Ovis aries: one gene and its partners. The protein of the gene in region 7 interacts with the protein of the main gene of each other region in a biochemical or structural test. Links are inferred from orthologs where the notes say so. Each region holds a gene or a part of one and is shown on either strand. Other genes may lie near its edges.

The links.
Region 1: the proteins of ERBB3 (region 7) and PTK6 form a complex in vitro, tested with the Homo sapiens proteins (2 studies listed by BioGRID and IntAct, with this or other methods). The link is inferred for Ovis aries from reciprocal best matches to the Homo sapiens genes ERBB3 and PTK6.
Region 2: the proteins of ERBB3 (region 7) and FER form a complex in vitro, tested with the Homo sapiens proteins (2 studies listed by BioGRID and IntAct, with this or other methods). The link is inferred for Ovis aries from reciprocal best matches to the Homo sapiens genes ERBB3 and FER.
Region 3: the proteins of ERBB3 (region 7) and SH2D1A form a complex in vitro, tested with the Homo sapiens proteins (2 studies listed by BioGRID and IntAct, with this or other methods). The link is inferred for Ovis aries from reciprocal best matches to the Homo sapiens genes ERBB3 and SH2D1A.
Region 4: the proteins of ERBB3 (region 7) and HCK form a complex in vitro, tested with the Homo sapiens proteins (2 studies listed by BioGRID and IntAct, with this or other methods). The link is inferred for Ovis aries from reciprocal best matches to the Homo sapiens genes ERBB3 and HCK.
Region 5: the proteins of ERBB3 (region 7) and ABL2 form a complex in vitro, tested with the Homo sapiens proteins (2 studies listed by BioGRID and IntAct, with this or other methods). The link is inferred for Ovis aries from reciprocal best matches to the Homo sapiens genes ERBB3 and ABL2.
Region 6: the proteins of ERBB3 (region 7) and TNS2 form a complex in vitro, tested with the Homo sapiens proteins (2 studies listed by BioGRID and IntAct, with this or other methods). The link is inferred for Ovis aries from reciprocal best matches to the Homo sapiens genes ERBB3 and TNS2.

Annotation. Positions count from the first base shown.
Region 1 is NC_056066.1:53,836,427-53,839,284, reverse strand, and holds the end of PTK6 (protein-tyrosine kinase 6), read right to left. Parts: coding exon 2,723-2,858; coding exon of another isoform or gene 2,690-2,722; exon of another isoform or gene 2,544-2,689; intron 2,538-2,543; coding exon 2,350-2,537; 3' UTR 618-2,349; downstream 1-617. UniProt on the Homo sapiens protein: Non-receptor tyrosine-protein kinase implicated in the regulation of a variety of signaling pathways that control the differentiation and maintenance of normal epithelia, as well as tumor growth.
Region 2 is NC_056058.1:105,761,793-105,765,292, reverse strand, and holds part of FER (tyrosine-protein kinase Fer), read right to left. Parts: intron 3,321-3,500; coding exon 3,178-3,320; 3' UTR 1-3,177. UniProt on the Homo sapiens protein: Tyrosine-protein kinase that acts downstream of cell surface receptors for growth factors and plays a role in the regulation of the actin cytoskeleton, microtubule assembly, lamellipodia formation, cell adhesion, cell migration and chemotaxis.
Region 3 is NC_056080.1:108,291,315-108,295,299, reverse strand, and holds the start of SH2D1A (SH2 domain-containing protein 1A), read right to left. Parts: upstream 2,801-3,985; 5' UTR 2,626-2,800; coding exon 2,489-2,625; intron 1-2,488.
Region 4 is NC_056066.1:61,253,584-61,257,083, reverse strand, and holds part of HCK (tyrosine-protein kinase HCK), read right to left. Parts: intron 1,707-3,500; coding exon 1,603-1,706; intron 1-1,602. UniProt on the Homo sapiens protein: Non-receptor tyrosine-protein kinase found in hematopoietic cells that transmits signals from cell surface receptors and plays an important role in the regulation of innate immune responses, including neutrophil, monocyte, macrophage and mast cell functions, phagocytosis, cell survival and proliferation, cell adhesion and migration.
Region 5 is NC_056065.1:59,883,531-59,887,030, forward strand, and holds part of ABL2 (tyrosine-protein kinase ABL2), read right to left. Parts: intron 465-3,500; coding exon 192-464; intron 1-191. UniProt on the Homo sapiens protein: Non-receptor tyrosine-protein kinase that plays an ABL1-overlapping role in key processes linked to cell growth and survival such as cytoskeleton remodeling in response to extracellular stimuli, cell motility and adhesion and receptor endocytosis.
Region 6 is NC_056056.1:133,381,162-133,384,327, reverse strand, and holds part of TNS2 (tensin-2), read left to right. Parts: coding exon 1-62; intron 63-167; coding exon 168-233; intron 234-310; coding exon 311-424; intron 425-642; coding exon 643-1,854; intron 1,855-1,957; coding exon 1,958-2,108; intron 2,109-2,232; coding exon 2,233-2,822; intron 2,823-2,937; coding exon 2,938-3,027; intron 3,028-3,166. UniProt on the Homo sapiens protein: Tyrosine-protein phosphatase which regulates cell motility, proliferation and muscle-response to insulin. Phosphatase activity is mediated by binding to phosphatidylinositol-3,4,5-triphosphate (PtdIns(3,4,5)P3) via the SH2 domain.
Region 7 is NC_056056.1:163,438,690-163,442,189, forward strand, and holds part of ERBB3 (receptor tyrosine-protein kinase erbB-3), read right to left. Parts: intron 3,187-3,500; coding exon 3,133-3,186; intron 2,792-3,132; coding exon 2,650-2,791; intron 1,955-2,649; coding exon 1,835-1,954; intron 765-1,834; coding exon 666-764; intron 473-665; coding exon 287-472; intron 120-286; coding exon 1-119. UniProt on the Homo sapiens protein: Tyrosine-protein kinase that plays an essential role as cell surface receptor for neuregulins.

The DNA of each region.
Region 1 (2,858 bases), on a different chromosome or scaffold from region 7:
CAGGTGAGTGCAGTGACTCCTCTGTTCCCAGGTCTGTGCCCAGGGAGTGACAGCAGCACCCTGACTTTGCCTTGCTCCTCTTAGGTCTCCCCAAAGCAGACCCCGGACACTGGTGGGCTAGCTTCTTCTTCGGGAAGTCCACTCTCCCGTTCATGGCCACAGTGCTGGAGTCTCCAGAGCAGTGAGTGTGCCTTTCTGGGGACCAGTGTGGGGGGAGGGGCGGGGACAAGTGGAAACAGCTTCTGACTTCCTGCTCTCCCCCAGCTCGGAGTCTGCCCAGGCCTCCACCAGCACGATCACCTGTGACCTGGCTCGGGAAGCTGTGGGGAAGCAGCAGCCCAGCGGCCAGCCTGGCAAAACCAACTGCAGGCCCCCGTCCTGAGTCACCACCACCAGCTGCCAGGCTTCCTTCCAAGGCGCTAGGCTCATCAGAGCCCTCTTCCTCCCCCTCCCCTGTACCCTCCCTTCCCCTCCTTTCCCCAAGACCAAGCAGGCTGCAGTCAGGGGAAGCAGTTTGGTTTTTAATATCAAAACAGCAAAACACCAAAAAGGAAGTTGAGAGAATACCACTCTCTGCTATCCGAGCCACACGAACGCGCCTTCCTCACACCCCATGACCCTGTGCCTTGCACCAAGTGGACAATAAACTCCAGGAGTGAGCAGCCTGGTGTGTGTGTGTGAGAGAGAGAGAGAGAGAGCCGTGTGCTCCCCCACCCCCGAGGGAGAGGTCACTAACCCTCAACCTTCTCATTCCCAGGTGTGAGAGAGCTGGCCATGCTCCTTGGGCCTTCCTGGAACCCCTCCTAGGGGGTGTCCTCTGAGATCTGGCCCAGGTTCATGTGGGCAGACAGCTCCAGTGAGTGTGGAGCCTTGCATCTGAGAAGGGGTGGGGTGCCTGGCTATTTTGGGAAATCAGGGAGAGCAGGCAGTCCAAGAATTGGAGCAGAAGCTTCCAAGGCAGCTGCCGAGGTCAGAGCCCTCTATGTGATTCCACCCCTGGCCCCTCCTGCTGCTGCTATAGGAGGCCGGTGGGGTCTCTACCTTGGGGTCAGAGGGATGCCGGTGCCCCCTGGAGGACCTTGAGGAGGCAGTCCTCAAACTTTTCTCCCACATGTCTTCTGTTATGGGTGTTACCTCCCCTTTTCTCTTGTAGGACACACTCTGGACAGGGCCCCCAATCCCCAGAGTGGATCTGAGGCCCCTGGCACCCCACTGAGGCAGACAGGAAGCAAGTGTGGGAGGCTCCTGTGGGTCCCTCTCACCAGGGAATCCCAGCTTTGGGCAGAGTCTGACTCCAGGACTGTGTGGTGTTGCGGGAGAGGGGTCCTCATCCTCTGCCAGCCTCCTGGGATAGGCCTGAGGGGGGTGGGCTGGTGGTGTCCACATTCAGGGCCAGCAGAGTTTGACTGGGGTGTGGGGTCAGGAGAGGGCAGTTCAGTGAGGCAGTGGACAGAGCTTTGGTGTGAAGTCAGAGGCTTAGAGGGGTGGCCTCCCCTGCTTCAAGGGCCGGACTCTGCTGGAGGGGCCCATCCTCCTCTGGCCACCCCTCCCCAACTCCATTCTAAGTCACATGAGTCCATCCCGAGGCATTTGGGTGGCTAAAAGCCCCTAAAGCCTACACCATCTGTCCTGCCTGTCCTCTGTGTGTCCAGGCAGTTTGCAGGCTTGGGGGACAGGCTCTCCTGTGGTCGCAGGGAAGGCTGGTGGTCAGTGCTAAGGCTGAGTGGGGGGTCCACCTCAAGGATTAGCATGACCCCCACCCAGTCCTGGCCACATTGTCCAGATGAGACCCCGACACCCCAGGGCAGGTGTTGCCAGGGCAGGTGGACAGGAACAGCACTGGCCCCGGGGAGCAGGTGTCCGTGCCTATCTCTGCAGAGGACTGGGAAATCATGCCCCCTCAAGTCTGAGGCTCAGGCAGGGCCAGGGGCCAGAGGGGGTGCAGCCAAAGCCTAGGTCCCCACCACACGGCCAGGGAGGCTTGACCCTGGTCCTGCTAGTTGGTGGGCTTCAAGTCAGGACCAGGGACAGGTCCATTTTGAGGAAAGGGGTGATCTGGCTCCTGGAGCCTCCAGAGCAGACGTTGGCTGTGGGGTGCCTGGCATTTTGCAGGTGCTGGCGTCGGGGAAAGGGACAGTCCCAGCTCCAGGCTGCATTGGGGAAGGCGTAGGCCCAGGCCTGCCAGAGCCCCTTCCCAGGAGTGTCCAGCTGGTTCTGGGAGTGGTCCATACCTTCAGCAAATCCTCAGTGAATCAGGGTGGCCCACAGCCATGATCTGAGGTCCCTCAGGCCTTGCCTCACTCATGAGGGCTGGCCTGGCCTCTGGGCATCTGTAGGGAGGCTGTGAGCTCAGAGCGGGTTCTCGTACCTTGTTAAGCTGGAGAGCTTCTCCCACAGCCCTTTGAAGTAGGGTCTCTGCTCAGGGTCCTTGTGCCAGCAGGAGAGCATCAGCTTGTGTGTGGTGGGCGGGCACTCTGGGGGGCGGGGCATGCGGTAGCCGCTCTCCACCCTCAGGAAGGCCTCCTGGTTGGACATGCCTACGGTGGATGGTACAAAGAGGCTCTGGAGGCAGGAGGCCAGTACCCTCTGCACACCTGGCACTCCTACCGCCCTCTTTTGGCTGGTGGCCCTGGAAGATACCCAGTGAGTGGTGCAGGGTGGTGTGACAAGGAGGCAGCCCCCTACTGCCCTAATGACAGTCTGCAATGCTGGGGCCCAGTACCTGGATAGGGCGTCTGACCCCTGCTGAAAATCTCATGGAGGAGAACCCCGAAGGACCAGACGTCAGACTTGATGGAGTAATGCCCTCGGGAGAGTGCCTCTGGGGCAGTCCACTTATAAGGGATGTTGTGGTCATA
Region 2 (3,500 bases), on a different chromosome or scaffold from region 7:
GTAGCTATCTCAGTGGTATTGGCCAAACTTCATGTGAGACCACGCGGCACAGCTGAAACACGAGGTGAACAGACACAAGAAAATCGGCCTGTGTTTAAAGGAAATGAAGACTGTTTCGGTGACCGAACATTCTTTTAAAAACGACCCTCAAATGAAAAAAGTTGTGAAATATGAAAACTGGCTGAAACACTTAGACTCATGTTCTACACTGATAATGCTAGTGAGAGGCTTCAATAATACAGTATTTGTGATAAAACGGTGGATTATGGATGAAGAACTATATTGACTTAAATTTGGGAGATAAAAGAGAAATGTTTACATGAGATCTGTCACTTGGGACCCAGTGACAGGATGGACTGAAATGAAACCTCCGGGTTTGAGCATCTAAACTAAGCCTATTCATACCCTTTATTATTATTTCCTGGAAGAGAAAGAGAATATTGGCTTTGGGAAGTAACCTTAGGTTACATGGAACACAAAATAATTTTAGGTTTCTTGTGTTGATAATAAATGCCTACCTGACAGTAAAAGATTTCTTTCCTTGAAAAATGATGACCGACCTGTCTATTTCTCATACAGGTTCCTTGGTGACTCAAGACAGAAAAATGCAGGTGAGGGTCCAGCTGCCTGGGCTCACCTGCCCCCTACTCTGTAGTCATAAATTTAAGGAATGATGGCAGAAACGGAACAGGAGAAGAGATGCAAGAGAATGAAAACCCACTCACAACACAGATGTGGCCTGGCTGAATTACATTCAGACCAGCGGCAGTTTTGGTTACCACTGTTTCCTTACTAAACAAGTCTATTTTGTATGTTTCTGAAGCCCTCTTTCCCTACATCAACTTTCAAATTCAGAGGAGTATTTGCATGTGAGCTTTCTGGGTATGGATTAGCCTCCTAAAGTACATAATCCCAATAATTATCAGTGACAGAAGGGATGAATAAATCATGCTTTAAGCACAACAAAATTAATGGTAAAAAAGTGGTCTGCGTAAGGTTTTCATAATGCATGTGCCTATTATTAAAGTGAATATTCTATACAACTGATATGACCCTGAAAGAAGTTATTAATCCTGAACTATACCACAGCCTGCTTTGGGATACAGAATAAGATAGAATTTAAATGCTGCGGATGTCACGACGTTATGAAAAGCTTCTTTAATTTAAGCATAGAGATATGATGTGAATTGTAAATTCTAATGGCCTGGATGAGTGAAATATCAAAGCCGTGTTCGTTCTTTCCACCAGAATGCAAAGATTAAGCTTCAGGTCTTGTTCTCAAAATTAAAGCCCAAACCTTCATTCTCTCTCTTTGCTGAGAGCTAAGCTTTGGGGCTGCTAAGTGATGGGAGGCTGTTTTTGTTTTTAATAAAGGATGCTACAGAAGTGCACTTGGAAGCATTGGCAAAGGGCGGAAATGTCCCTGTTTTATTCCTGCTTTTGAAAGCTGGCAAGTGAGTGTAGAGTAGAGCTCTTAATCTTGAGTCTGTGCTATGATCTACTGCAGTTTATGCCATCAAAAGGTTTCACTTACTCATCATATTTGACAGAAGGGAAACAAAGCTGCTTTTAAAAGAAGTTGCCTTGTGTATTGCATTATTTTTGAGGGCAAGTTTATTATGCTTTCATTTGAGTCCGAATGTGGTAATCATGAAACGTATGAGACTCACACACACACAGCCCCTTTTCTCTTCACCATTATTCCCTGCGCAGTGATATTCCCAGGAGGAAGCGGGTGGATGGGGCGGGAGGCATTTCCATCCCATAAACGCCTGCACTGAATGGCAGACCAAAGGATCGCTGCTGTGCGTCTGGACACAGGCCGGAGCACGCACTAAAAGCTCCCAGGCCACATTTACCCCTGAGCGTGACCGTCTCTTACACACACGTGTTTCCTGAGGCAACTATATACAGAACATGGGGTAAGTTCCCTGGATGCAGCTAAGAGTCAGCCGAAGAGAATCCTAGTTTAAACCCGGCAGCGTTTTCCCCGTGACACATCTCCACGCTGCGCTCACAGCTGTCCGCCAACGGTAAGAGTTCCCAGGTAGCGCCGTGAGAGCAAGTGAACAGGGAGCGGACAAAGCAGGCGCCTCTACAGCTTCCTCCTCGATAATGCTCCTCTGACTGCGGAGCCGTCCACTCCGCTCCCAGCTGCCTGACTTCCTGGTATTGTCTGTGTGTGTGGTGGTGGTGGTGGGGGGGGGGGGGGGGAGCGTGCACACATGCCCGGGTGCACGCACAGGAATGCTTATGGACTAGGGCCATTCAGTTCGGACCGCCCTGGACAGCGGCGCGGGTGAACGGAACTGAATCCCAGATGTCTCCTCTCAAATGAAGGCGCTTCAAAGCACACTCTGACTTTTGGGGACTTGTGCATTGGAGCTTCCCTAAACAATTTCTGGTCGCCGAGAGGGCTGTACCTAACAGCTCCTGGAAACATTTCTCAGAACCTTGTTCATGAATTCAGATCATAACGTGTGTGTGTCTGTGTGTGTGCACGTGTGTCTGTGTGTGTGCAGGCGTGACTCTGCCACAGGTCACAGCCGTCCAAAACGGCCTCTAAAAGCCGCGGCCTCAACTGCCAGCTCTGTGAGGGGACTCCAGCCACCATCTCCGACAAAAAGGAGGAAAACCACAGCCTGACTGGGAGGACAGAAATGGGAGGGTTCTTATGCTTATTTCTGGCGAGAAAGGAGAAAAATCCCCTGGGAGGTCTGAACAGTTCTCAGTGTGAAGTGATATTTACCAACACGCTCCCGCCCTGGCGGCGCAGAAAGCTGACTTTGGTCGGGACATGCCTCGCAGACACGGCGTGCCGGGCGGCGCACGGACGGACGGAGCGGAGTCCGCGGCCGGGGCGGCAGCGGGGAGCCGGGCCTGAAGGAAAGCGGCCCTGCAGAGCGCCAGAGCTCCCGGTGCGGGCAAGACAGGCGGGCTCCCCGCACGCGAGAGCCCGTGCCTGTCTGCTCCCGCGGGGCTGAGCTAGGCACGCCCGTGCAAGGACTGCTGCTTCAATGCCTTTTTTTTTTTCTTAAACAGCACATATTTTAAAAAACAGTTAATAAAAAAGTAACCTTAGAAGACGGTTGCACACAACACGGTATACACTCATGGTTAACAAGGAGAACAGTATTACTCTGCGGGAGGAGAGGCCACGTCCACGCGGCTCCGTCACTACGTGATCTTCTTCTTGATGGCCGCGAGCTCTTTCTGAAGTTCGCTGAACTTGGGGCGGTTTTCGGGTTTATAATCCCAGCACTTCATCATGATTTTAAATATGTCCTCTGGGCAGTGCTGAGGGGCTGACATCCGGTATCCTGAAGACACAAGAGAAGGACAAAGAATTTAGGATGGGGATAACCAGACATCACTGTTCACACAGGGCATCGCGCAGTTTGCAGTACCCTATGTTGTCGGTTAACAGAAACAAAAATGCCATTTTAGGGCAGGCTGGTTTTTTTTTTTTTTTCCTGTAAGTAATGCAGGTTTTAATATTA
Region 3 (3,985 bases), on a different chromosome or scaffold from region 7:
CTAAAAAAGAGGAAATGAAATGTTTACGTTTATCAGAAGGGATCCTTGGCTCAAAAAAAAGCTGAGAAACTGTCATAAAAGGCACTGTATCATTGTGTCTTCCCTCTGCAGCAGTCTGGCCATTAGCCTCTAGGACTTGGAGGCCCAGTGTGCCCACTGAAAGATATGTTAGGGGGACTCCCAATTTGCCGACTATTTTCTGCTACTTCATAAAAAGGTTTGCATGGAGAACCTACAGTCATAAAAACTGCATTTAGGCAAGATTCACTTTGGACAAAAACTTAATCTGCGAATTTCCCATCTGTCTAAGTTAATTCCTTACGTGGCCCTGGCCAATTTGAGTAATAGGCTAAGATTATCCTTCTCTCTTGCATCTTTTACCAACTATAATCTTCTGCAGAAGATAGAGCACACATTATTATTCTTGTTTTAGAAATATGGAAACCAAGACCTACAAAAGTTGAGTGATGTCCCAGAGGCCACATCCTGGCCTCCTGATATCAGCCCAAAAGCCTACTGCCATAAAGAATTTGCCTTGACAGTTCATTCATTAATTCAGAAACATTTATTGAGTGCCTGTTGCATGCCTCATGATACCTGTTGCATGCCAGGCTGTGTTCCTGGTGCGGGAGATGGTGTCTCTGCCCCAGAGAGATTACATTGTAGCAGGAGAGCCCAGCAAGACAAAAGTAGACAAGCAAACGTCAGACAGCTGAAAGCTCCCAGAAGAAAACTAAAGTGACAGATTATAACTGGGACAGGGAGAAGGGACTTATTTTAGAGGCTAGTCAAGGAAGTCCTCTCTGAGAGAAGAGGGAGAAGGAACAGTTAAGTGTGAAGATCCTAAGCAAGGAGCAGCTTGGCAAGCTCGAGAAACAACAAAGAGGCCAGTGCGTCTGAAGTCTTAGGAACATCCTGCCACACACTGTCCCCGGCTCTTCCTTCCCTTCCCAGGCCTTTTGTACCTTAATTTTTACCTCTAGGTTGAGGGTCCCATTACCTCCTTTGGTGAGCTTTCCTAAAGAAGCTCCTCTCACCAGTTCACTCACTCCTCCACCTTCTATTGATAAGAAAAGAGCCTAGGAATACGAGTTGGCTTTCACTGACCTACCCCAGTTTTCACTTTCGAGAAACAATAATATAAGGAAAACCTAAAATCTGAGCCCAAGGGATTCACTAGCTTGCACATATATCCCTTGTAGCTTTTATAACAAACGTTTTTAGCATGGCCTGAGAGTTGCCACAAATATGCCTTGCCCATTTAAAAATAATACAATAAACAATGAAAATCCTCTAACACCAGGCTCAATACAATCTCTCATCAATGACCTAAAGGAACTTCAAAATCTTGCCATGTATCATCAGACACCAAAATTACAACCAAGCATTTTCCCTCATTTTGTTTCTGTCTAGAAGCTACTGTACAGGGCTGCTGCTTTCATGAGTGTTTTTACCCTGCTAACAAAGAGTGATTGAGCTAGGGACTTCCTTAGAAACACCCCGTGAGTACTTAAAGATATTGACTGAAATATATATACATTTTATATATATATATAATATATTATAATAAAAAGTACTGAAAGAGAGTGAAAAAATAATAACAACAACAGCTTACTTTTACTGAACACTTAGTATGCATCAGGTCCAGTGCTAAATTTTCTACGTGCATTACAGCATTTAATGCTCAGTCCTATGAGGTAGGTAGTAATATTACACTTTTTGGACAAGAAAACTGAGGGACTGTGAGGTTAACTTGCCAAAGCCAGCATCAGACTAGCACAAGATTAGGTCTTAGCTCTGCCTGACCCTGGAGCCCTGGAGCAAAGATGAAGGTGCATCTGATTCAAAATGGGGCTTTAGACCAAGAGATGCTTAGGTAAAGGGCAAAGCTGAATCATACCAGGGTGCTTTCCCTCCATGTCCTTTACGACTATTGTCTCTCCCAGCGTTTATCACGGAAAGGCCCTATTTCTGAAACCCCACCCCACCCCCCTCCAACTCCTGTAAAGAAAGCTAATTAAGCAAATCCAGAGAGGTGGTTTTATTCAGAAACGTCCCTCTCTCCCACATCCTGACCTAACTGGTATTGCTGTCTTAAAGGATTCCATTTCTTAGTCTTCTTCCTCTCCTTGAATTTGAAATCTTCCTTTGGGAAGATACCTTCAAAGCCATTGCCAGAGGGCTGGAGAGAAAGGCCTCTCCTCTGAGGAGCTGGTGGCCCTATATCTGGCCATTCCCTCATCCCAGGCCTCCACCTTGCTGGCCTCTACCAGAGGTCCAACCTGAAGCCAGGAGCCTGAGTCCTTTTGGCAGCAAAGGTAAATTCTAGGCTCCTTTTCCTCCACTGCAAAGAGCATTCCTACAGCCGCCCCCAAAGGCGCTGGAGAAGACCCTCTGAAGAGCAGGAAGCCCAGGCGAGACAACCCCAGTGAGGGACGTGAGCCGCACGGTGGGCAGTGGGGGCTCCAGGGCCCCGTCATGTACTCACAGCACACACAGACAGTACACGCCGGGAACACTCTCGCTGTCCCTCAGCAGATAGCTGCCATCCAGGCCCGTGGCGAGCAGGAGCTTCTCCCCCGTCTCCCGGCTGATCTTGCCATGATACACAGCCACCGCGTCCATGGCCAGGGGACAGTAGCAGGGAAAGGCCGCTGTTGCTGCTGCCGCCGCAACCAGGCACGACTCAGCCACCTGCCTCCCTGTTCAGCCAGATGTTCAAAAAAGAGAAAGGAGCGCCCCAACAACAGGATGTTGTCTACCTGCCTCACAGCCTCCTTCTCGCACTTCAGTGAAAACCAGGTCAGCAGTTTAGCAGCTTGGCTACTGCCCTAGGGTTCAATTCCCCCCTCCCCTCTCTGCTCCGCCTCTGCCACAAAAGGGTTGGGGTGGATGGATGGACAGAGAGGGGAGGACTATTGGAAGAAGGTCCTTGCAGGATGTGGCCTGTGCTCCCAATGCATGCAGACACGAATGCCTGGTAATGTTTCTGTCCTTGTAGTTTTCCCAGGAAGGCCACCCTGACTTAGCTTAAATAGTCCCCAAAGGGGTTAATGAGACAGGGAAGCCGTGTTGATCTTCATGTGGGGCAGAAACATACTGACAGAGAATGAAAGGCCCAAAAGCTCTGAGACCAAAACACAGAGGTCATCAGTATTGTCAGTGGGTGATCCCCACTGAGCACAGGCAGGAGGCTCCTAGGGAATCAGAGGCAAGAAGTGAACAGCGGACTTGGGATCCACTGCCTCCCCTCCCCAAACCCTCCCCCTTCTCTTTGACTCCTCCTAGTCATCTCCAGCAATCTTGATCCTGAACAAATCAAACATTTCCAGGCTTCTTGTCCAAGATCCCAAAGTGCTGGTTGAGGTACAAAAATCAGTCTGTGTCCAAAGATGTTCCAGATGTATCTATTTGATGGGCCTTAGATGAGAGAATAAATCATTTCATTGGTGTTTTGCCTTCATGCGGACTTGTCTGTGCCTTTTGACATACAGGGCCTACCTTTTAGCATTTGGGACATCAAACTTAAGTCCATTGTGAGTGTTGATAATTGCGTTGTATCTTTTATCATCTGTAGTTAGTAGAGAATATGGTTTTTGTTCAATTGATGCTAAGCTATCAAATTTTTTAGAACCTTTCAACCTTTGTTTCCTTCTCTCTTGTATTTCAAGATGTGCTGTTAAGTAATATTTCCCCCAAACTTCCTCATTTTTCACTAGAACGAGACCTTGTTTAATGTTTGAAGCTGAATGCTCTTCTACATTTTTTCTTTTGAGTGTGTAACATACTTTTCTTTTTCTTTTTAGATTGTTTTTGATGTAGACCATTTTTAGTCTTTATGGAAGTTTTTATAATATTGCTTCTGTTTTATGCTTTGGTTTTTTGGCTGCAAGGCATCTGGGATCTTAGCTTCCCATGCATGTATGCTAAGTCGCTTCAGTTGTGTCCAATTCTTTGCAACCCTGTGGACTGTAGCCCACCAGGC
Region 4 (3,500 bases), on a different chromosome or scaffold from region 7:
GCGGATTCTTTAATGCCTGTTATTTGGTTGCTCAGTCATGTCCATCTCTTTGTAACCCCATGGACTGCAGCCTGCCAGGCTTCCCTGTCCTTCACTATCTCCTGGAGTTTGCTCAAACTCATGTCCATTGAGTTGATGATGCCAACCAACTATCTCATCCTCTGTCACCCCCTTCACCTCCTGCCCTCAATCTTTCCCAGCATCAGGATCTTTTCAAATGAGTCAGCTCTTGACAATGAATGAATAGGAATAATAAATAATAACAATGAATGGATAGGAATAATATTCATTATAATGGACTATAGTTATATGCATTATAATAAGCTATATTGTTCATTACAGTGAATGATTAACCCCACAGGTAGAGGTTTTATATCACCACAATGTTGTACGTAAGGAGACTGAGGTCCAGGGAGATGAAGTACCTAACCTGAAGTCACACAGCCTGTAAGTAGCAGAGCTGGGCTTCAAACCCAGGTAGCTGGGACCACACTGTTAATCACTCTGCCCAGTCAAGGGGAGGCTGACTTGGCTGATGCTGAATGGGGAAGGGCAGAACCCAGGAAGCAGCAGGATGGGACTCAGGGCACTTGTACTACAAGTTTATTAACTCCATGAACCCACCTATGCCCACTCTGAGGGCTGTGGGAGTGGCCAGGCTCACCTTCCTGCCCTTGTGTGCAGGATGGCCCAGAGGGAGAAGAGAAGCCGAGGGCTGTGTACGGCTCTATCTTTTTGTACCATTTCTTTTCCTCTGGGGGCTGGTAGGGAGTTTGTTGGGTGGGAGGAAATAAAGCCAAAACATTCCCTGACCCGAAACACAGATTGTGAGTGCTGCTTTTAGCCGCATTCAGGCTTCCCCAGGTCAGAAATCAGGGGGCAAGTAGAAGGCCCCTGAACTGATTGTCCAGGGTACTGTGAGATCATACCTTATACAATTTACTGATTTCTCTGAACCAAGGAGTTTTGAATCTAAACACAGCAGTAAAGGCACACACTGTGTGTGAAATCTGAAATCAAAGGACTCCTACTTACAATCATCCCTTTGGCAAAACTGGCCTTAGTTGATGCCAGTTTGAGTTATTTGTTGTTTTGGGGCACTACTCTTGCCTCCTACGCAATGACCAGGCACAAAGCCACCCTCACAGCACAGAAGTTTCAGGAAGCAGGTCACCAACATCAAAATATCCAAATACCTCAAAGGGGTTATTTGAAACAGGTCCCAGACAAGATTGCTTGAGGTCTCTTCCTACAGCCTGAGCCCATCTCATTTCCTTATGGAAGGAGAGAGGAGTCAGGCTTGTGGACAAGATATATTTTGATGGGTATATAAAAGAATCCAAGCTAATGAAGATCAAGTTCAGCAGGTTGTTGTTCTTCAGGGCAGTAACCACTGCATCTTACTTTCACTGACCTAAGTTGGCAGGTCTGGGGGCTGAGAAGGTTTGAACAAAGAGCAGAAGGAAGCCTGGCAAGCCGGGGACGGGGGCTGGGTGAGTTGCTAAGACAATGGCATACTCCAGGGAAGGATGGTGTCCAGTCATGTCTGGGGCTCCCCTGTGTGGTGGGGTGGAAACACAGGGCTAGGAGGACTGGCCTCACCTTTGGTGGTCTCGCTGTCCCGGATCATGAAGGAGCCCAGCACGTTGCCAGGGGCCAGGAGTTGGCGCTCTGCATCTTTTCGGCTGATGCCCTTGAAGAACCACCTGGAGGGAAGGGAGGGGGCAGTAAGCCCGCAGTGGGCAGTCCTGTCTGACTATCAGCATTCTCGCCTGGCATCAGGATTCCAAGGGCCTGGATTCCTCTGGTGTCAGTTTTACTCAAAGATTCTTTGGGGGGAAAGCAGTCATTCCTTTGATATTGACATTTTACCACAAGTGAATCCAGTTCGCTGGGGCTGAAACTTGCAATTTGGGGAGATTTCTTTAAGAAAAATAATACAGCATTATAAATACTAATACAAAATGTTGCTGGTTATTCCAGTACCACCCAACATGAGGGATAAGGTGATGAGCAAAAAGACTGGGTGGGAAAATACAGCAGTCTTAACCAACTGTGGTCAAAAATCTTCCTTTTGCAGACTTCTCTAGTTTGATCAACCTCTCAGGATCTTAGAGGCCCATGTGAGTGAGGGCTGAGCTTTGTTACCATCACAGTTCATCTTCCTCTGTAGATACAGAGTTGAATATGACATCAGCATGAATTTCTAAGCTCAAATGTGAGATTTCAAATAACTTTATACTTGGCACCACATCCCTGGACCTTTCTTCATCCTCCTTGACTATTTGGGATCTTTAGATCCCCCTCAAAAATCTAAGGATAACTTTAAGCAGCAAAAACCAAACTTATTCCCTGAGGAGTAGTTCATGCACTGTGATGGAAAAAGCCCCAGGCCAGAGGTCAACTGGCCTTGACCCTGCCGCAAATCTATGTGTGACTTAGAGCACATTGCTTTCCCTCTCTGGACTTCTGTTTCCTCTGCTATCAACTGGGGAAACAGGCAGTTACCATTTATCAAGCTCTTATTATCCACCCAACACCTCTATGGAATCATTGCCTTTATTATCCCCATTTTACAGATGAGGAAATCAAGAAACAGAAAGAGCAAGTAACTTGCCTGGCATCACACAGCTAGTAAGTGGTGTAGGCAGGATTCAAAGTCAGGCAGTCTAACTCCAGAGCCAAAGGTCCTAATCACCCTGCCACACCCCTGCCTTCCTTGCTTTCATTTGGTAAAGTGAGTCAAGCCATGGTAAAATGTTCAAGCAATGTTAAGGGTACACAGTAAGAGCTGTCCTCCTGGCAATCCCACCCCCAGGAAGTTATCCCATGGATTCTGCACAGGAAGAAATGGCATATACCCAAGGAGACTCAAGGCAGCATGAGACTGGGGACAGCTTAAGTGACCACTGACGAGGGATGGTGGGGCGCCTACATGGCAGACACTGCAGCTGTGAAACGGAGGCACTGTGGCACTGCACGGAAGATCTGAACAAGAGAGGTGGGAGAGGATAGTGTAGAATAAAACGGAGAGAGACAATGTTCTTTGCAGCATTGTTCGCAATAGCCAAGACACAGAAACAACCTCAATGTCCATCAAGAGATGAATGGATCAAGAAGTTGCAGGACTTACATACAATGAAATATTGTTGTTGCTGTTTAGTCATTAAGTCGTGTCTGACTCTTTTGCGACCCCATGGACTGTAGCCCACCAGGCTCCTCTGCCCATCGGATTTCTCAGGCACGAATACTGGAGTGGGAAGTTATTTCCTTCTCCAGGGGATTTTCCCAACCCAGGGATCAAACCTGTGTCTCCTGCATTACAGGTGGATCCTTTACCGCTGAGCCACCACAGACATGATAGTGGAATATTAGCCATGAAGTAGAATAAAACAATGCCATTTGCAGCAACATGGATGAACCCAGAGATTATCATACTGAGTGAAGAGAGTCAGGAAGGGAAAGACAAGTACCAAATGATATCGCTTACATGTGGAATC
Region 5 (3,500 bases), on a different chromosome or scaffold from region 7:
CTGCATTGCAGTGAATAATCTGCCCCTGCACTGTCAGCAATGGCACCAGGGTTAATCATCAGAATTTGCTGATGTGCTTGGCACCAGTGGGTGGAAAGTGTTCCAAAGTTAAAGAAGGGCACGCTGGTATTTCCAAGTGATTCAGCACAAAAGAAAAAGATGCCTGAAAACTGTAATTCTCAGCAACCCACCTTCAACGTTTTCACAGCAACTGTAAGGCTGTATTTCTTCCAGACGCCAACGTAAACCTCTCCATACTGACCACCCCCAAGTTTGTGCTTCATGGTAATATCTGTTCGTTCCATCTCCCACTTATCATGGATGGGGGACACACCGTAGACTGTAGGCTTATTACACTTGGGGGCCGGATAGTGCAGGGTTGTCACCAGCCCATCAGCCACCGTGGAGTGATGGTGAACAAGCTCGGCCAAGGTGCTGAAGCGGCTCTCGGCAGTTACATATACCTGGTGAGCAGAGCGGAGAAAAATAAACCAACTGAAAAGGGGTCATTATCTCACTGCTCTCAAGATATGAAAATAAGCAGCACTAGTCACAACAGCCAAAACATGGAGACAACCTAAACGTCCATCGGCAGATGAGTGGATAAGGAAGATGTGGTGTTGTGTATGGCAATGGAATATTACTCAGCCATAAAAAGGAACAAAATAAGGCCATTCACAGTGACATGAAAGCAACTAGAAATGAAGACAGTCAGAAAAAGACAAACACCCTGTGATTTCACTTATATGTGGAATCTAAAATACGACACAATGAAACAAAATCACAAACAGAGCGAACAGACTGGTGGTTGCCAAGAGGGAGGGAGTCGGGGAAGGGAAAGAATGGGCGCTGGGGACAGCAGGTGAAAAATATCATATACAGAGTGGATAAACAACAAGGTCCTACTATATTCAATATTCCATGATAAATCACAATAGAAAATAATATAAAAAGAACACAGATATACATATAACTGAATCACTGTGCTATATGGCACACATTAACACAACACTGTAAACCAACTATACTTCAATTTTTAAAATGCTGATTTAAAAAAAGATGAAAATAAGGCATTATCTTACTGAGATAAGTGGAAGAATTAGGGAAGAATTTAACCATGATGTTGCAGGGGTGGGGGTGGGCAGAGAACTTCACTTTAATCTCATTTAAACTACTCTTCTTACGATTCCTAAAGTAGCTCGAGTCTTGAGGGGAAAAGCTTCTATATCTCAGGATCATCAAGATCACTGGTCTTCAAATATTTTTAAGCTAAATGACTAAGGAGCCCAAATATGGAAGATAAAGGAAGAGAAGCGCTGATTAAAGTAGGTAAGAGGGGACTGGCTTCCTGTAAAAGTTTATGAACTCCCACCTCAGAATCTTACACAGAACATAATTTGAAAACCACTGATTTTAATTTTTTTGGTAGAGAGAGGATATTCAAATATCTTATGATTTTTATTTCATTAAGAGGCACTTTTGAGTGCCCAAGCAATTTTTTAAAAAGAGCCACAATTTTATCTCAGAAAGTAAACAAAACAGTAGTTAATATGTGATAAGCAAGAAGAAGGATGAAGTAGGATAGCAGTCTCTAAGCCTTATCTTCCAAGGGAGCTTGTTTATTTTCTTAAAAAAGAGATTCTAGAGTATACAGAAGAGCATATAATTAATAAATGGAGAACAGACGAGTCCTGTAAAGTGAACTCACCCATGATAAACATCTCCCACCCAAGAGAATCACAGTATTACCAGCACCCAGCAGCCTCCCTCCTGCCCTCCGAGCTACTGACCCCGCAAAGGTAACCACTCTGCTGACTTCTAACGCCTTAGATTAGCTTAGATTGTGAACTGTACCTATGCAAACGGAACCACACAATAAGCATTGTTTTGTGCCTGTTTTCTGTCACCCAACTTTTTTTACTGTGATATAATTCATATATTTCACCACAAAATTCACAATTTCAATTGTGCAATACAGTGACTTTTAATAAATGCATTGATTGTCCAACCATTACCACTATCTAATTTCAGGACATTTTCATCACCCTACAAAGAAACCCCAGACCCATTAGAGGTCATTCCCACTCCCCTCATCCCCTTCCTCAGTAATCACTAATCCCTTCTACTCAACTTTATGTGTAAGAGATTCATCTATGACTGTTCTAGAGGGCCGGATACTAAGCATTTTAGGTTTGTGGCCACAGCATTTCTGTCGTTACTCAAGTCTGCCATAATACTGAGAAAGCAGCCATAGACAACACATACACAAATGGGTGCATCTGCATTCCAGTACAATTTTATCTGCAAGAGTAGGCAGCCAGTGGGTCATGGTTTTTGCTAGTAACGTGTGTAGTAGAGCTGCGTTCACTTTGTGTAAGATTCCTTTTTACAAATATACCACAATGTATTAATTCAGTCCACTGCTGTCAGACAGCTGAGTGTTTCTAGTTTCTGGCTACTACACGTAACGCTGCTATGAACATTCCTGTACATGTCTGCTGAACACACATGCACTCACTTCTGTTGGGAAGACAACCAGAAGTAGATTCTGCTGAGTGGCCCTTATATCATCACTTACCTGATTCTATTTGGTTTCATGAAGAAAAAAATACGTCTTATAGGGTGGTGCAAAGAAAATTAATAATTTACTGTTTCCTACTTTTTACCAGCCATTATCTTTTATTGAAATTATCTCACTGAATGCTGCCAATAAAATGGGATGGGAAACTGAGGCTTAAGTAAGGTCACAATGTGAATAAATGATGGAGTTACCCAGCAAACCAGATTTGCTTGCTCTAAAGCCTATGCTTTTCCCCTACTATGCATATCATAAAGAGAGAAAAAGTGGAAGAAACAATTCAATCTAAATTTACTATTCAAGGACTTCCCTGGTGGTCCAACACTTAAGAACCTACCTTGCAGGGCAGGCAAAGCAGGTTCAATCCCTGGTCGGGGAACTGAGATCCCACAGGCCACAGAGCAACTCAGCCTGCACACCCTAACTATAAATTTACTGTTCAACAGAAGAACGGACATAAATCTACTCTCTACCATTTATAAAGCAAGACAGTTCCACTCTAACATAGCCATTCTTATACGGTTGGTCTTTCTAACCTGCAAAGTGCTAAATGACTGACTGATCTATTTATATTAACATACATTAATGACCAATATCAGTCTCAGAAGCCTAAAGTTTTACTCTTTAAACTTTCTGGTAGAGATTATTATAATTTTCATAAATGGTTTAATTTATAAAATTCCACACAATGTATTGGATGTATATGTGCATATCTGTATACTGATAAGTTAACTTATACAGCTGTTTCCTTCATTTTTCACCTTCAAATCTAGTTCATCTTTAAACTCTTGATGTAATACTGTTTTTAATTTCCATTACCATACTGTCTTTTTTGTTTTGTTTTGTTTTGTTTTTTTTACCATACTGTTTTGAAAAGAGTAAGCGCTCTCTCATGTGCCAAACAGCTCAAACTCACATCAGT
Region 6 (3,166 bases), about 30 Mb from region 7:
ATGCACTATCCATGGACCACGGCTCATCTTCTCCAAGGACCAGTTGGATGAGGCCTGGGCCGGTGAGTTGGAGACAAGTGGCCTGGGGGCTGGAGCCCGGGTGAAGGCAGGCAGGTGGGTAAGGGCAGGGAGGGGGTCACCTGCTCCTCACTGTCCACTCCCCACAGACGAGAGGTTCCCCTTCCAAGCCTCGGTGGAGTTCGTCTTCTCCTCCAGCCCAGAGAAGATCAAAGGTAAGAGCCAAGCCTGGCAGGGGGCAGGGGGCAGGGGTTGTCTCCCTGCTCCTCACCCCCGGGGCGCCCTTCTATAGGTAGCACCCCACGGAATGAGCCCTCCGTCTCTGTCGACTACAACACTGCAGAGCCCGCAGTGCGCTGGGACTCCTACGAGAACTTCAACCTGCACCATGAGGACAGTGCGGATGGTGTGTGGGGTGCCCCCAGAGGGGGAGGGAGGTGGAGCTTCCTGTGGGGGGACATGCTTCCCTCCCTAGACAGACACCCTCCCAAGAGACACCCCCGAGCTGGAGTCTCCGGCACCATCCCCTGTTAACACACGCGCTTTGTCTGTTTCTCTCTCTCTCTCTCTCCCCCCGCCACTGTGGCCTGCTTGCTATACCGCCCGGATCCTCTCCCCACTCAGACTCTGTCACCCACACCCGGGGGCCCCTGGATGGCAGTCCTTATGCCCAGGTGCAGCGAGCCCCCCGCCAGACCCCACCGGCCCCATCTCCGGAGCCACCCCCACCCCCGCTGCTTTCTGTCAGCAGCGACTCTGGCCATTCCTCCACGCTGACCACGGAGCCGGCCGCCGAGTCCCCTGGCCGGCCACCTCCGACGGCTGCCGAGCGGCAGGAGCTCGAGCGCCTGCTGGGAGGCTGTGGAGTGGCCAGTGGGGGCCGGGGAGCTGGGCGCGAGACGGCCATCCTTGATGATGAAGACCAGCCCGCTGCGGGCGGAGGCCCCCACCTCGGAATATATTCAGGACACAGGCCTGGCCTCAGCCGCCACTGCTCCTGCCGCCAGGGCTACCGGGAACCCTGCGGGGTCCCCAATGGAGGCTACTACCGGCCAGAGGGGACCCTGGAGAGGCGGCGGCTGGCTTTCGGAGCCTATGAGGGGGCCCCCCAGGGCTATGCTGAGCCCTCCGTGGAGAAGAGGCGCCTCTGCCGCTCGCTGTCCGAGGGGCCGTACCCCTACCCGCCTGAGCTGGGGAAACCCACCAATGGAGACTTTGGCTACCGCCCCCCAGGCTACCGGGAGGTGGTGATCCTGGAAGACCCAGGGCTGCCTGCACTGTGCTCGTGCCCTGCCTGTGAGGAGAAGCTAGCACTGCCCACGGCAGCCCTCTATGGGCTGCGGCTGGAGAGGGAGGCTGGGGAGGGCTGGGCGAGTGAGGCTGGTAAGCCCCTCCTGCACCCGGTGCGACCCGGGCACCCGCTGCCCCTGCTGGTGCCTGCCTGCGGGCACCACCATACCCCGCTGCCTGACTACAGCTGCTTGAAGCCACCGAAGGCAGGCGAGGAAGGGCATGAGGGCTGCTCCTATGCCTTGTGCCCCGAGGGCAGGTATGGGCACCCAGGGTACCCTGCCCTGGTGACGTACGGCTATGGAGGCGCAGTTCCCAGCTGCTGCCCAGCATACGGCCGGGTGCCGCACAGCTGTGGGTCTCCAGGTGAGGGTAGAGGGTATCCCAGCCCTCGTGCCCACTCCCCCCGGGCTGGCTCCATCTCCCCTGGCAGCCCGCCCTACCCCCAGTCCAGGAAGCTGAGCTATGAGATCCCTGCAGAGGAAGGAGGGGACCGGTATCCGCTGCCTGGGCACCTGGCCCCAGCAGGACCCTTGGCATCTCCAGGTGAGGCCCTGGGAAGGGGGATGCCCAGGGCAGAAGAGGGTTCTGGGGAATGGTGGGGAAAGCACAGACTGAGGAAGAGCTACAACCCCTTCTCTCCCTGCAGAGTCGCCGGAGCCTGTGTCCTGGAGGGAGAGTCCCAGCGGGCACAGCACCCTGCCCCGGTCCCCGCGAGATGCCCAGTGCAGCACCGCTTCCGAGCTGTCTGGTCCTTCCACACCGCTGCACACCAGCAGCCCCGTCCAGGGCAAGGAGAGGTGCTTCGTGGGGCTGGGCAGCTCAGGGGCCTCCTTATCTGGGTAGACACTGAAGCCTGTGTTGGCAGGCACCTCACACAGGGCTCTGCAACCCAACTAAACTGCCCGCCCTCCCTCCCTGCAGCACCCGACGGCAGGACACCCGGTCCCCCACCTTGGCGCCCACTCAGAGACTGAGTCCCGCGGAGGCCTTGCCGCCTGTTTCCCAGGGAGGCGCTGATAAGGCTCCAGAGCTGCCTGCGGGAAGTGGGCCTGAGCCTCCAGCCCCTGGCGCCTTCTCCTCAGCCTCCCCACCCAGCTCTCCCAACGACTGGCCTCAGGAGAGGAGCCTGGGGGGCCGCTTGGACAGCACCAGTCCAAGGGGGCCTGTACCCAACACCCTGCCCGGCCTCCGTCATGCCCCTTGGCAGGGCCTGCGAGATCCCCCAGACAGCCCGGATGGGTCCCCCCTCACCCCTGTGCCTACTCAGATGCCCTGGCTTGTGGCCAGCCCAGAACCCCCTCAGAGCTCGCCCACACCTGCCTTTCCTCTGGCTGCATCTTACGACATCAACGGCCCCCCCCAACCCCCCCTTCCTGAGAAACGCCATCTGCTGGGGCCTGGGCAGCAGCCGGGACCCTGGGGCCCGGAGCAGGCATCACCACCAGCCAGAGGCGCTAGTCACCATGTCACTTTTGCACCTCTGCTCCCGGATAATGCCCCCCAACCCCCAGGTATAAAGGCCTTCAGGAGGCTGGGGCCACCTTAGGAGAACCCTGGTTTCCAGGGAGGGGCATGGCATGGGGACTGGGGAGCCCTGGGGTAAAGCTTAGTCCCTCCCTGTTCTAGAGCCCCCGATGCAAGAGAGCCAGAGCAATGTCAAGTTTGTCCAGGACACATCCAAGTTCTGGTACAAGCCACACCTGTCCCGTGACCAAGGTGAGAAGCCAGCCTGCCCCTACTCCCTCCGGGCCTCTGGCTCAGCTTCTGGTTTGTGCCACTTCATCAGTGGGCCTCCTCTGGGCCGAGCCTCTTTCTAGCAGATGATTCTGGGTTTTAGGCCCGAGGAGGTCTCACC
Region 7 (3,500 bases):
GGCAGCAAGTCAGCAACCCCAAAATCTGCCACCTGAACCTGGCTAGGTGATTTTAGTAGCACATTTCGGGCAGCCAGGTTCCTATGCACCATGCCATGTTCCTCAAGGTAGTACATTCCCTGTAGGGAAGGAAGTTTTCTTAAAGTTGGAGAAATTGGTTCTCAATTGAGTCCCAGAATCACCTCAAACCCTCAGGCACCTCTCAACACTTCCAAGCCCCTGGGCCCCTCCCTGCAGGCCTGTAGGCAGTTCTGTCTTAAAACTCCTCCAGGCTCCTCGCACTCACTTTGGCAATTTGTACTCCCCAGTTGAGCAGCAGCTGTGGCCCCAGCGCCCCACGGTGTTGTCTCACGTGATCCAGCAGGGAGCCCAGAGGCAAGTACTGAGTGACGAGCTGCAGAGATGACCCTGGAGACAGTCCCAGCAGCCGTACAATGTGGGCATGGTCGAGGCTGCCGATGGCCAGCATGTGCTAAAAGACACAACAAGAAAGGTCATCCTGGGAACAGACAGGTTCACATAAAACCAGACCAGGGCTCCCCCAACATTCAGGGACATCTCTGTGGCTAATATAGTACCTGCTAACACAAGACCGTGTTTCTACATAATTGTATCTAATAGCTATCCTCTCCTAGTGGCACACCGAACACCTTGCCTTCACTTACGTCTGTCACAGCTTGAAAACTTTGCCGTCCACTCTTGTCCTCAATGACTTTAATGCAGACTGGAATCTTGATTGATTCACCCTCAGGAATCCACACGCCCTGGGAAGTTTTGGGCAGGAGTCAGCCTAAGGTCATTCTTCCCAGGCTACTCCTTTCCCTGGATCTTTTTTTTTTCTTTTTCTAGTTTTATTGAGGTATAATTGACATATACCACTGTATATGTTTAAGATGTACAGCATAATGACTTGACTTACATGTATCATGAAAAGATTACCACAATAAGTTTAGTGAATATCCATCATCTGAGAGAGAAACAAAATTAAAGAAATAGAAGTTTTTTTCTTATGATGAGAAATCTTAACTTTTAGGAGGATTTACTTTCTTAACTACTTTCATATATAGCATACAGCAGCGTTAATTACATTTATCACATTTTACATCACTTAGTGGGCTTCCCGGGTGGCTCAGCAGTAAAGAATTCGCCTGTAATATAGGAACTGCAGGAGATGCATTTTCAGTCCCTGAGTCAGGAAGATCCCCTGGAGCAGGGCATGGCAACCCGCTCCAGCATTCTTGCCTGGAAAATGCCATGGACAGAGGAACCTGGCAGGCTACAGTCCACGGGGTCGCAAAGAGTCAGACACAACTGAAGCAACTTAGCATGCATGCACATCACTTAGTACATATTTATCTTATAACTGTAAGTCTATACATTTTGACTGCCTTCATCCAATTCCTCCTCCTCCTACCCCAATGGAGAACCTGAGCTTCCCTGGTAGCTCAGAGGTTAAAGCATCTGCCTGCAATGCAGGAGAGCTGGGTTTGATTCCTGGGTTGGGAAGATCCCCTGGATGAAGGAAATGGCAACCCACTCCAGTATTCTTGCCTGAAAAACCCCATGGACAGAGGAGCCTGATGGGCTGTACTCCATGGGGTAGCAAAGATTTGGACATGACTGAGCGACTTCACTTTCTTTCTTTTCTATCCCACCTCTACTTCTGGTAACCTCCAATCTCTCCAATCTGATCTCTTTTTTTCTGAGTTTGCTAGTTTTTGAAGTCTGACCTAGAACACTATTAAAAGGTATGGAATGAAAAGATCTTTCCCTGATCTCTCTCCTTGCCCTAGATCCTTTCCCCACCTCCCCAATCTTCTTGTGGGCCACTCACTTTGTGCACAGTTCCAAAGATGCCGGAGCCCAGCACTTTAAGCTTCCTCAGCTCTGTTTCTTTGAAGACTCGGGCCAAGACTTTGTTAGCCTTTTCACTGGGATCCAGAGGCTCTACACTCTGCAGAACAGATGGGAAGGAGGTACTCAGGAAAGCCCACTCCCATGTCCATCTCCAGGCCCCTCGCCACAGGTGCCTGCCAAGAGCAGCAAAGCCTGAAGGGGTGGGAACAGGAGGAGAAATGTCTCTAGTCTTAGAAAACATTTCAGGCCTATTGGAGCATAACAGACCTTGAGGACTGAGGAAGTTGTGTTCATGAGATCAGGAATCAAGAGGGTTAGGTTTTCCCTTTGATAGGGGGGTAGGGGAGAGGGTTGGTAATACTATCACGTTGATTAATTTTTCAGACTTTGAATTTTTTATTTTATATTGGAGTACAGCCAATCAACAATGTTGTGATAGTGTCAGGTGACCAGCGAAGGAGCTCAAGCCATGCCTTGAGTACTTTTATACATTTTCTGTTTTTCAAAGCATTTTCACAAATCCCCTTTTACCCTTACAGCCATCTTGTAAGGATGAATGTTATTGTTTCCTCTGTATATGTGCATAAACAGGCAGAGAAGGAAGGTAACTTCTTCAAAGTCACATGGCAAATTAATGGCAAAATCAGGAGTTTCCCATTTCTCTGGGCAGAGTCCTTTCCGGGGGACCATACTGCCTCCTTGAAGAAAGGGATCAAGGCTCTGGGGAAGGAAGAGGCTCTCCAAGGGTGATGATGGTATAGGGCACGTTTCCAGGGTAAGATAGACACTCACCTCACCCCGTTCCAGGTAGCGCCTCATAGCCCTCTTATTCTGAATCTGGCGTCCACGCCAATAGAGAAAAGTGCTGCCCAGGATCAGGAAAGTCACTGCCAACCCGACTACCACTGTTAAGGCCATTGCCAGGTGGGTTTTGCTGCAGAACAGAGAAGCCCAGAATTATCCTGGGTCTACGCTCCCTGTACAAATGTCATTTATACCTGTACTAAATGTATAGAACAGATCTTGGGCAAGAAGTTAACCTGCACATCTGCATATATCCTTGAGCAATGAAGGGGTTAACCTCAATCTCCACCCCAAGACCACTGCAAGTTAATTTTAGGAAGGGAAGGCCAGAAACGTGGATTCTTGTGTCCCTGAGTCCCATGATAGTAGCCTATATATAGAAGGCCAGAATGAATACACTCAACTCTTTGCAGGAAGTAACTGTGCTTCCCCAAATATCCCCAGGTCCCTATACCTCTAAGCCCACCATACCTGATTAGTGGCAGCAGTTGGCCTAAACAGTCTTGTAGCTCTGGTCCCTTACACCTGGAGAAGAAAGTCAGCTCCTTAAATGGGAGCTTGGGAGACTCCCACTGGAGGCTCAATTCCAACAGCCTCAACATATAACATTGTTTCAGACCCTTCCATGGCATCCAGTCCTGGAGTCCAAAGCATATCCCAAGACATGGCCCCATCTCTGGCTCAGCAACCCTCCCTGAGTCCCTCTGCTGAATGAAACTCCCCTGAGTTGAGGCTATTCCAGGTCTCTCAAATTGTGGTATCATTTTGAGCAGTTACTGAGTTTCCTTTTCTCCAGTCCTTCACTACGCAGCTGGGAGTGGTTCTTACATCATAGTTCC